3 linked regions of the Macaca mulatta genome follow. The main gene of each other region encodes a partner of the protein of the gene in region 2 in a complex. Links are inferred from orthologs where the notes say so. Each region holds a gene or a part of one and is shown on either strand. Other genes may lie near its edges.

Evidence for each region.
Region 1: the proteins of NTRK1 (region 2) and SHC1 are in contact, whole or in part, in an NMR structure (PDB 1SHC), measured with the Homo sapiens proteins. The link is inferred for Macaca mulatta from reciprocal best matches to the Homo sapiens genes NTRK1 and SHC1. Residues at the interface, in NP_002520.2 of Homo sapiens: His489, Ile490, Ile491, Glu492, Asn493, Pro494, Gln495, Tyr496, Phe497; in NP_892113.4 of Homo sapiens: Met176, Arg177, Ala178, Leu179, Ser259, Ile260, Ser261, Phe262, Ala263, Ser264, Gly265, Gly266, Lys279, Asn283, Arg285, Ile301, Ile304, Gly305, Phe308, Glu309, Phe312, Lys313, Gln314, Tyr315.
Region 3: the proteins of NTRK1 (region 2) and NGF are in contact, whole or in part, in a crystal structure (PDB 1WWW), measured with the Homo sapiens proteins. The link is inferred for Macaca mulatta from reciprocal best matches to the Homo sapiens genes NTRK1 and NGF. Residues at the interface, in NP_002520.2 of Homo sapiens: His291, Val294, Glu295, Met296, His297, Cys300, Pro302, Phe303, Ser304, Leu333, Glu334, His343, Gly344, Cys345, Arg347, Thr352, His353, Met379, Asp380, Pro382; in NP_001424474.1 of Homo sapiens: His125, Pro126, Ile127, Phe128, Arg130, Gly131, Glu132, Phe133, Ser134, Ser138, Ser140, Trp142, Tyr173, Phe175, Arg180.

Annotation. Positions count from the first base shown.
Region 1 is NC_133406.1:112,039,123-112,042,489, forward strand, and holds the end of SHC1 (SHC-transforming protein 1), read left to right. Parts: intron 1-130; exon of another isoform or gene 131-509; intron 510-1,246; coding exon 1,247-1,375; 3' UTR 1,376-2,862; downstream 2,863-3,367. UniProt on the Homo sapiens protein: Signaling adapter that couples activated growth factor receptors to signaling pathways. Participates in a signaling cascade initiated by activated KIT and KITLG/SCF.
Region 2 is NC_133406.1:110,063,739-110,067,407, reverse strand, and holds the start of NTRK1 (high affinity nerve growth factor receptor), read left to right. Parts: upstream 1-774; 5' UTR 775-2,277; coding exon 2,278-2,567; intron 2,568-3,669. Other genes in the region: INSRR (insulin receptor-related protein), read right to left, coding at 1-59. UniProt on the Homo sapiens protein: Receptor tyrosine kinase involved in the development and the maturation of the central and peripheral nervous systems through regulation of proliferation, differentiation and survival of sympathetic and nervous neurons.
Region 3 is NC_133406.1:124,982,602-124,985,835, reverse strand, and holds the end of NGF (beta-nerve growth factor), read right to left. Parts: intron 1,394-3,234; coding exon 656-1,393; 3' UTR 504-655; downstream 1-503. UniProt on the Homo sapiens protein: Nerve growth factor is important for the development and maintenance of the sympathetic and sensory nervous systems.

The sequences.
Region 1 (3,367 bases), about 2.0 Mb from region 2:
TCCCGAGTAGCTGGGACTACAGGCGCCCGCCGCCTCGCCCGGCTAATTTTTTGCATTTTTAGTAGAGACAGGGTTTCACCGTGGTCTCGATCTCCTGACCTTGTGATCCGCCCGCCTCAGCCTCCCAAAGTGCTGGGATTACAGGCGTGAGCCACCGCGCCCGGCCATCTGTGCCCATTTTTACAAATAAGGAAACCACCCCGAAGAGGTTGTGAGGCCCAATGTCACATGGTTAAAGGCTAGACACTGCAAGTTTCCTTTCGTAAGAAGATCCAAGGGCTTCTCCAGCTCCTCAGACTCAGGAGTCAGACCACTGTGCTTTCTCTTATTTGCACTGCCTCACTGTTCTTCAAAACTTTCCTTGTTTAGCCAGGTGTGGTGGCTCATGCCTGTAATCGCAAGATTTTGGGAAGCTGAGGTGGGAGGATTGCTTGAGGCCAGGAGTTCTAGACCAGCCTAGGCAACATGGCAAGACCTTATCTCTAGAAAAATAAAAAAAAACAAAAAATTAGTCAGGAATGGTGACACATGCCTGTAGTCCTACCTACCCAGGAGGCTGAGGCCTGATGATTGCTTGAGCCCAGGAGTTTGAGGTTACAGTGAGCCATGACTGCGCCATTGCACTCTAGCCTGGGTGACAGAGACCCTGTCTAGAAACAAACAAACTTTTGTCTGTTTTCTACAGCAATCTCAGCCTCCTTTCCTCTTTTTCTTTTCTTTTTTTTTTTGAGATAGGGTTTTGCTTTGTCATCCAGGCTGGGGTGTGGTGGCACACCCGGCTAATTTTTGTATTTTTGTTGTTGTTGTTGAGATGGGGTTTCGCCATGTTGCTCAAGCTGTTCTTGAACTCCTGGGCTCAAGTGATCCGCCTCCCTTAGCCTCCCAGAGTGCTGGGATTGCAGGCATGAGCCACCATGCCCAGCCTCCACATCTTTTTTTGCACTGTGTATACTCTTCTGAGACATGCCAACTTTTTCCACGTCAAGAAAAGGGTATATAGCTCTCAGCTTCACTCTTTCAGGGCTGATGTCACCTTTGCCTTTTCCCACTTCACTGACCTGTCTATTCCTGCAACTGTCTCTTTCTAGAGAAACCTCAATGATCAGGACTGATAGGCCACACTCTCCCCTACCATTTTTTTCTCCTTCTTCAAGCCTCTTGTCTGTTTTACCCTCTTCCACCTTGGAGGCTGAGGTCTTATTTGACTCTTCACCTGAATTGACCTTCTTCCTTCCCACCCTCCCAGGTTCGGACTAAGGATCACCGCTTTGAGAGTGTCAGTCACCTCATCAGCTACCATATGGACAATCACTTGCCCATCATCTCTGCGGGCAGCGAACTGTGTCTACAGCAACCTGTGGAGCGGAAACTGTGATCTGCCCCAGACCTCTCTTCCAGAAGATGCCCTCCAATCCCTTCCACCCTATTCCCTAACTCTTGGGACCTCATTTGGGAGTGTTCTGCGGGCTTGGCCTTGTGTCAGAGCTGGGAGTAGTGTGGACTCTGGGTTTCATATCCAGCTGAGTGAGGGTTTGAGGGTTTGAGTCAGAAGCCTGGGGGAGAATCCTGCCTCTCCCCAAACATTGATCACCAAAGTATTAATGTACAGAGTGGCCCTTCACCTGGGCCTTTCCTGTGCCAACCTGATGCCCCTTCCCCAAGAAAGTGAGTGGTTGTCATGGAAAATGTCCTGTGGTGACAGGCCCAGTGGAACAGTCACCCTTTTGGGCAAGGGGGAACAAATCACACTTCTGTGCTTCAGGGTATCCCAGACCCTTCTCAACACCCCCACCCCACCATGTTTAAACTTTGTGCCTTTGACCATCTCTTAGGTCTGATGATATTTTATGCAGAGTTCTTGGGCCCCTGAGTTCAATGACAGGGATGCCAACACCTTCTTGGCTTCTGGGACCTGTCTTCTTGCTCAGCACTCTTTCCGGTTTGGTTTGGGATAACAGAGGCAGGAGTGGCAGCTGTCCCCTCTCCCTGGGGATATGCAACCCTTAGAGATTGCCCCAGAGCCCCCCTCCCGGCCAGGGGGGAGATGGATCCCTCCCTTGCTCAGTGCCTCCTGGCCGGGGCCCCTCACCCCAAGGGGTCTGTATATACATTTCGTAAGGCCTGCCCTCTCCCATGTTGCATGCCTATTGTACTCTACAGCCAAAGTGTAGCCCTTCCTGGAGCCTCTGCCCTGCCTCCCTTTCTGGCAGGGTGGGGTAGGGGTGACTGAATTTGGGCCTCTTGTACAGTTCACTCTCCCAGGTGGATTTTGTGGAGGTGGGAAAAAGGGCATTGAGACTCTTAAAGCAGTAGACAATCCCCAAATACCATCTGTAGAGTTGGAACTGCATTCTTTTAAAGTTTTATATGCATATATTTTAGGGCTGTAGACTTACTTTCCTATTTTGTTTTCCATGGCTTATTCTCGAGCACAAAATGGTAATCAATTATTACATTTATACATCACCTTTTTGACTTTTCCAAGCCCTTTTACAGCTGTTGGCATTTTCCTCGCCCAGGCCTGTGAGGTAACTGGGATCGCACCTTTTATACCAGACCTGAGGCAGATGAAATTTATTTCCATCTAGGACTAGAAAAACTTGGGTCTCTTACCGCGAGACTGAGAGGCAGAAGTCAGCTCGAATGCCTGTCAGTTTCATGGAGGGGAAACGCAAAACCTGCAGTTCCTGAGTACCTTCTACAGGCCCGGCCCAGCCTGGGCCCCTCTTTTGGCCTTGTGGATAAGGGACAGTTGACCGTTTTCATCCTGGACTCCTTTTGCTGTTGTTTGGATGTTTCCACGGGTCTCACTTATACCAAAGGGAAAACTCTTCATTAAAGTCCGTATTTCTTCTACCTCTGCCTCTTAATCCTGGGAAGCCTATTGTGTACGCCGCGGGCCCTTAGCTGCACAGCGGGGAGGCGGGAGGTCGCGGCCGCCGAGGGAAGCTAGGGGGTCTGCGGAGTTTGGGCGCGGCAGAGTGGGGCGTGTCGCGCCACCGTCCCCATGAAGATGTTGTGTCCGGGGGGCGGGGGCTGGCTCCGGGTGCGTCCAGGCAAGAACCCGGACTCCCCGGCGCCGCAACGCCGGCCCCCGGGACTACCTAGACCTCCCAGGCGCGCCCTCGGCTCGCGCGCGCCCCTCCGCGGTGGCTCCACCGCCCGGGATGGTACGGTCCGGCAGCAGGGCCGCGCGCCGCCGCCCCTCGGTGAGCTGGTGTGGGCCGCCGCTAGCGGAAACGACCCTCTCCACTCGCGTGGTGCAGTGGTAAGCCTCGCCCCTCGCCTGCCGCCTGTTTTCTGGCGTGGGGTCTCGTCCGGTCCTTGCTCCCCCTCCCCGCCGCGCTTAGTGGTGGTGGCCGCGCCG
Region 2 (3,669 bases):
AACGAGAGGAAGATCACAGGCAGGCATGCTCCCCAGGGCCACAGACTAGGCACTGCCATTGTCCCAGCCCTGGTTTGTGTCCAGTCCCGGCTCTCCTCCTGGTGACCCTGGGGAGAAGGATTTGACAAGCCCTAAGGGACACAGAGACCAGGGTTCAGATAGGAGAGGGAGGGCAGGGACAGAGAGACAAGGAATCCCACACAGAGAGAGCAGGAGACAGAAAAAAAGAAATGAGAGTCACAGAGACACAAAGACAGTGACAGGCAGCTGGAGACAGAGAGACTCAGCATGAGATTGAGAGATGGGGACAGAGATGCAGACAGTGACAGGGAGAGAGAGAAAATGACACAGGGTTCTGAGCAAAAGGCAGGCCGAGAGGCCAGCCAACCCTGAGGGCAGAGCAGAAGGCTGGGGACCGCTCCCAAGGAGGGCAGCGGGGGTCCCGGGACGCGTGGGACTCCACAGGGAGAGTCTCCCTGGATCCCTCTGGGCGCGCGGCCCCCCAGCGCCAGCTGACCGCGCTGACTGCGGTCTTTCCCAGGGCAGGCACGCAGGGGCCGCGCCCAGCTCCCGCCCTCCCCGCCCCCCGCCGAAACAGATTGGTTCGCAGGGACCTCTCCGTTCTCTCCGCCCCTCCAGCCAAGCCAAAATATTTAGCCTAACAACTGAGGGGAGGACATATCTGTTGGGGAAATAAGGCCAAAATACGGGGGGAAGGGTGGGCCAAGAACTGAGCTTCCTCAAATCCCGCTGCGGCTGCAGCGGGTCCCCCCAATCCTTTGTCCCCACCACAAGCTTCTTCCAAGTGGGGCTGCGCCGCCGGAGGGGCAGCCAGCGCCCGGGCTTCTGGGGAGGACTGTGTCTAGATTCTGCTTCCCGGTGCTTTGACACCTGCCGGGTAACTTCTGGCAGCCTCGACCCGGGAGAACGTGGACAGCCTTTGGCCTCTCAGAGCCCCTCTCAGCCTCCCAGGAGGCCTCCCAGTCCTCTTTGGAGACCCCTTAGCGCCAGGCTCCGTCACCGCCTAGTCCCTTGGTTCTGACCAATATCCCGATGAAGAAGGCGATCACTGTGTGGGGCTCTGCCTCCGTCTGGTCATCTTCTTGAACTCAGGCTGCTTGGTCGGTCAGTGTGTCCCTGTCTCGGGGATTTGGGGGACCATTCATGCTGGGGCCTTGGCGGAGAGGAGAACTGCCAGCCTCTAGGAGGCCATCCTTCGCCTGCTCCCTGGGGCTTTGCCTGTCTCCCTGCCAAGAGAGACCCCTCTTCCCCTCGCTCTCCTCAGCTTGAGACGGATGGGTTCGTGCAGCCACAGAGGCTTGCGCGGTGGGAGGGGTTGGGACCAGCCTTCTGCTGCCCTGGGTGCTGGGGATCCCGGGGCTTTCCAGGTGCGCGGCCACCAAGTTGCACGGTCCTCAGCTCCACCTGCGGGCGGCTCCCGCATCGGAGGAGCTAAGAGATCTATTAATTTCTTCACGAATAAATCGATGCTCTTGTCAGGGAGGCAGGCGATCGATGTCAGCCCGCCCTGCCTTACCCTATCCTGCCCCGGGGCCGGCGCTGGCTGGCCGGGGTCAGGGACTGAAGCTGAGACCTGAGGCGTTGCTGATTGGGGGCTGCAGATCGCACCCCCAGCCACCCAGCCCGGGCGGAGAGCTGGCTCCTTTGCGCGCGGGCTTCTCGCGCCACCCTGTGGCTTCTCTTGGAGGCGCGGTCTTGGCTCTCTGGACTCCCTTCGGCCGGATCAAGCGACCCTTCCCTTTCTCTGCCCGGTCTGTGTCTTCCTCCCCAGGTTCTGCGATTGATCTTTGGTAGTCCTTTTCTTTTCTTCCTAGAGTTCGGAGAATGTTCTACCTAACTTACTCCAAGTGACATGCGCACTCCCCCAGGCACGCGCGCGGTGAGGATGGAGCGCTGAGTCTGGGGCTGACTAGGATGACCTGGACAGCAACCTTTCCTCAACTCAGTTATCTTCCCTCCTCCCCAAATGTAAAAATACAGCTGCTTTAAGCTGAGAGAAATAACGTATCAACTTCCCACCCCCGGCCTCAGCAGACACCTCCGAGGCGTTCTGCTGCGGCCCCTCTGCATCTCCCGGAGCTGGGGGGATCCTCGGGGAGAAGGCTGACGCTGGGGACCCCTAACAGGAGAGGGGGCAGAGTTGGGGGCGTCAGAGGGGAGAGAAGGGGCTGGAGACGAGGGGCGGGGCGGGGCCGGGCGGGGGCGACTGGCTCCGCCCTTTCCTGGCGGCTGGGTCTTTAACACCGCCCAGCGCACATGTCGGCGGAGGCCTGGCAGCAGCAGCTGAGAGCGCACAGACGGCTGCCCCGCCGGAGCAAGGCGGGCGCCGCCGCGATGCTGCGAGGCGGACGGCGCGGGCAGCTCGGCTGGCACAGCTGGGCTGCGGGGCCGGGCAGCCTGCTGGCTTGGCTGATGTTGGCATCTGCGGGCGCCTCACCCTGCCCCGATGCCTGCTGCCCCCACGGCTCCTCGGGACTGCGATGCACACGGGATGGGGCCCTGGATAGCCTCCACCACCTGCCCGGCGCAGAGAACCTGACTGAGCTGTGAGTGTCCGGCGTGCGAGGGGGCGCGGGGACAGGCAGGAATTGCCATGCCCCGAGGGCGCGGACTCTCCGCTTGTTTGCTTGGTCAGGCAGGGCGAGTACAGCGGAAGGCTGGCACGACGCAGCCTTTGGCGGTGCACGGGCGTTCCTCCGCAGCCGCCGATGCCCTAGCAAGCTTTACGGTCACTGCCTGGATGTCCCCTAGTGTTCAGGGCAGCTGGGCCGCCGGCTTCAGGGAGATCGAGGGGAGAATCTCTGGGCACCAGGTCTGAGAGAGCCTAGCCGTCTAGAAGCCGCTTTCTTGAGCTCAGTCAGAGGCTCCTGCTCTGTCCAACAGAGAAAGGTGGTTACCAGCAGAGAAGTCCCCAGTTTGACACCCTTACTACCTTTTCCCTTTTCTAGGGAAAGGGGCAAGCCAGCCCCCACCCACTTCCTTGTTATGAGGAGGCAACCCCAGCTTTTCTCCTGGAATTGGGGATTGAGCTGGCTGGCATTGGTGGGAGGTGGTAAGGAGCTGGGTGGTTGAGCTCTCCTCTTTCCATTTTTACCATTCCTTTCCCCAGAACCCCTTGATTTGGATCTGGGAAATGGGACCCCCTCCTGGATTTTCTCTCCCCACTCCCATCTCCCTCTCCAATCCGGGGCGGGGAGTCAGGGCCCTTGCTGAGAGACCCTCCTCCCTTTGGTACACAAAGCTGGGAGGAATCTTCAGCATTCTGCAGGACTCTGACATTCTGCAGGAATTGGTTACAAAATACTGAAGTACTTTTCAGCAGCTGGTGAAACCTATGGGAGTATGCAGTGATGACTGGCCTGGAGGTACTCAGGCATCACATGGTGATGGCTGGAAAATACTTGAATATTACATATGGCTATCATGGCCAGCAAGACATCTAGAAGAGGGGAGGAACTGCGAGAAAATCCTCCTCCTGGGGCCTGGGGTTTACAGGGTGGACAAGGAACCCTGGCCCCATGCAGTGATGGGCTGGAAGGTATCAAGGTGAGGATCATCAATGTCTGGAAGTTACTTGAGCAGCTTGCACTAATTGGCACTGAGTTACTCGGGTATCTTATGGTAATCAACAGGAAGGTACTCAATCTC
Region 3 (3,234 bases), about 15 Mb from region 2:
GAGATTACTCTGTTACAACTCTTCCAGACGGCACATCTTCCCCTACAAATGAGCAGCGCACAGATCTTTGGTGCAAGCCTCGTCCTATCTATCGAGTGCCCCCAGAACTGAGACTGTGCCTCTGAGGCCAGGGCAGCCCCGTGCCCAGTGGTGATCTGCCTCCTGATGAGGCTCCACTAACTTCCCCAAGGGAGGAGACCAGAGCCCATGCTTCCAGGCGGTGGGCAGGTAATCCAATGATTAGGTAGCTTTGGCTCTGGAATGTAGAACAAAATTGCAATCCAGCAGGCTTCCTTTGCTAATCATGCCTGACTTATTCTAATATCTGAAACCAGTTAGCCTTTTCTGAAGTTGCAGCACTGGCTGGGGGTGGGGTAAGGGTTACAGGTGGGCCTTAGAAGGAGCCAGGGAGTACTTTGGACAATTCGGACAATTCCCCCTGCATCTTCCTGAGACTTGCAGATGATTTTACTGGGAAAAATAACCAGTGTCAGCACACAGGATGCTTCCAAAAATTTAATAAATAATGATTCTTTAAAACTGTATAAACTATAAATTACCATGCAGTCCTTATAATTTAAAATAATTTACAGGTTGAGGTAGGGAGGGGCCCAGGAGAGTGTGGAAGGGGCAGGGGAGGGAGCGTGTCGGCAGGTCAGGCTCTTCTCACAGCCTTCCTGCTGAGCACACACACACAGGCCGTGTCGATCCGGATAAATCGCCAGGCAGCCTGCTTGCCATCCATGGTCAGCGCCTTGACAAAGGTGTGAGTCGTGGTACAATATGAGTTCCAATGCTTTGAGTCAATGCCCCGGCACCCGCTGTCAACGGGATTTGGGTCCCGGCACTTGGTCTCAAAAAAGTACTGTTTGAATACACTGTTGTTAATGTTCACCTCTCCCAACACCATCACCTCCTTGCCCTTGATGTCTGTGGCGGTGGTCTTATCCCCAACCCACACGCTGACACTGTCACACACCGAGAACTCGCCCCTGTGGAAGATGGGGTGGGACGATGACCGCTTGCTCCTGTGAGTCCTGTTGAAGGGGGCAGCACCACCGACCTCAAAGTCCAGATCCTGAGTGTCTGCAGCTTCAGGTGGGGGCTGAGTGCTAAACAGCACACGGGGTGAACGGAGTCGCCGCTTTTTAAACAGCCTGGGGTCCACAGTAATGTTGCGGGTCTGCCCTGCCACTCGTGCAGCTATCGCCACTGCCGGGGCGCTGCGGACTCTGCGAAGGGCCGTGTCAAGGGAATGCTGAAGTTTAGTCCAGTGGGCTTGGGGGATGGTGTGTCCTGCAGGGACATTGCTCTCTGAGTGTGGTTCTGCCTGTATGCCGATCAGAAAAGCTGTGATCAGAGTGTAGAACAACATGGACATTACGCTATGCACCTGGAATGAAAAAGAAATGAGGGTGACTCCATGGAGTACTAAATGCAGTCAAAAGGCAGTTTCTGGGTCCCTCAGAGTTGACCTCCCACGGGGATCACAAAGAGATTTCATTCAAACTGGGGCATTTCTGAGAGGGAAAGGGTGTGCTAGCAATGGTTACACTGGGACAACAGGCATAAGCCGGGCTGACTCAGGCAGTATGGATGTGTGGTCTCCCCATCCAGGCTTCTCCAGGAAGGGACAGAGCCCCTGGAATTTTGCCCAGTAGTTCAGTATGAGCTTGGAAATATCAAACAGAATCCTTTGAGTTCTCTGACACTTAAGGAGGCTGAGGGAGGTGGTAAGTGTCCATGTGTGTACCAGGGAGGCCGGTGGGGAGAGTTTGACACCTCTCCCTGGCACTTGTGCCTTGATGTGATGGTGCTGTCCTGCTCAGCAGTTCTGAATCCTCTGGGAAGGCACTGGGGAGATCTGCTGGGGACATGTCTTGAAGCCTCAGCACTGGGTACCCCCTTTCAGACAGTGCACTGGGTCAGCTCTAAGATCTGGTGACTCGGAGCCCTTGTTATGAATTCACAGAGCATCATGTTTGGCAAAAACCTTGTGGCTCTGGGACCAACTTAGTCCAGGCACCTCTTCAGACACTACCCCACATATATAACTGTGGACCACATAATAGTTCCTCTTTGTGTAATGTTTTTAAAATGTTTTCACTTCTATCTTCTCATGAGTCTGTGAGTTCGATTAGGATTTATCATATTTATTTCACATATAAGGAAACTGATTCACAGAAAATGAACTAACACTAAAGCATTGAAGTCATAAATGAAAACTGAACCAGAAATAGAATCCAAAGTCGACCCCTTACTAAGCCAGTCTGTCCTTCCATCCACCCTTCCTTCTTTTCTCCCTGCCTTTCTCTTTCACTCTTAAACATGTCTTTTCTTTTTATTATTTGTTCTTATGTGACTATAGATCAAATGGTATGGATCTATCTGTCCCCAAGAGGACTCTGTACTGCACTGCAGTTACCCCACAAATAATCCCCCCACTTGGTCAAGTAGTTGTAGAATTAGTTCTCCTAGAGGGCCTCTCACTGGCCTCTGTGGCTCTCCTGTGCATACTTGTAGATGTGTAGCAAACATCAGCTCCTCTGTAAAGCTTCCATAGATCTTCTTGGTTGGATTAGAAATATCTCCTGTAAGAGTGTTCTGCAAACTTCCAATTCTATCCTTTCTCCCATCTCTCCTTCCCACTCTCATGGATCATTCTACTTCCTTTCCACACAGATACCACCTAGTCCTCGAAGCCTTTTCAGACCACTCTAACCAAAAATGATATCTTTCCATTCTGCACTTCAGAATAGCATAATTGTATGTGCATATGTGTGTGTGCGTGTGTGTGTGTGTGTGTGTGTGTGTGGTGTGTTCTCTTCTACTAAATCAGTGCAATGACAAGAATTCTGCATTGGGTCTGGGGGTTAGAAAACCTTGTTTGGATTCCTACTCCACTACTTGTTAGCAGAAGAAACCCATTTAATTTCCCAGAGCCTTAGTGTTCTCATTGATCGGAGGTGGGCAAGAAACACTATTTCCCAGAGTCATTGTTAGGATGAAGTAGGTTCTCACAAAATTTGTGTAAATTATGAGTTATTTCCGTCTTCTTGTGTCAAGGACTTTGTCTTTTGTGTTTTCTACTGCTGGGTTTACCTCTCTCAGACCTCCTTCAAAGCCATTTTTATTGTCTCACCGTGACTGTGAGGTACTGGAGGGTGGAGCTGTGTCTCATCCACTTGTGTATCTGGGCACTCCATCCCTTGTATTCCACAACAGTTTGTGCAT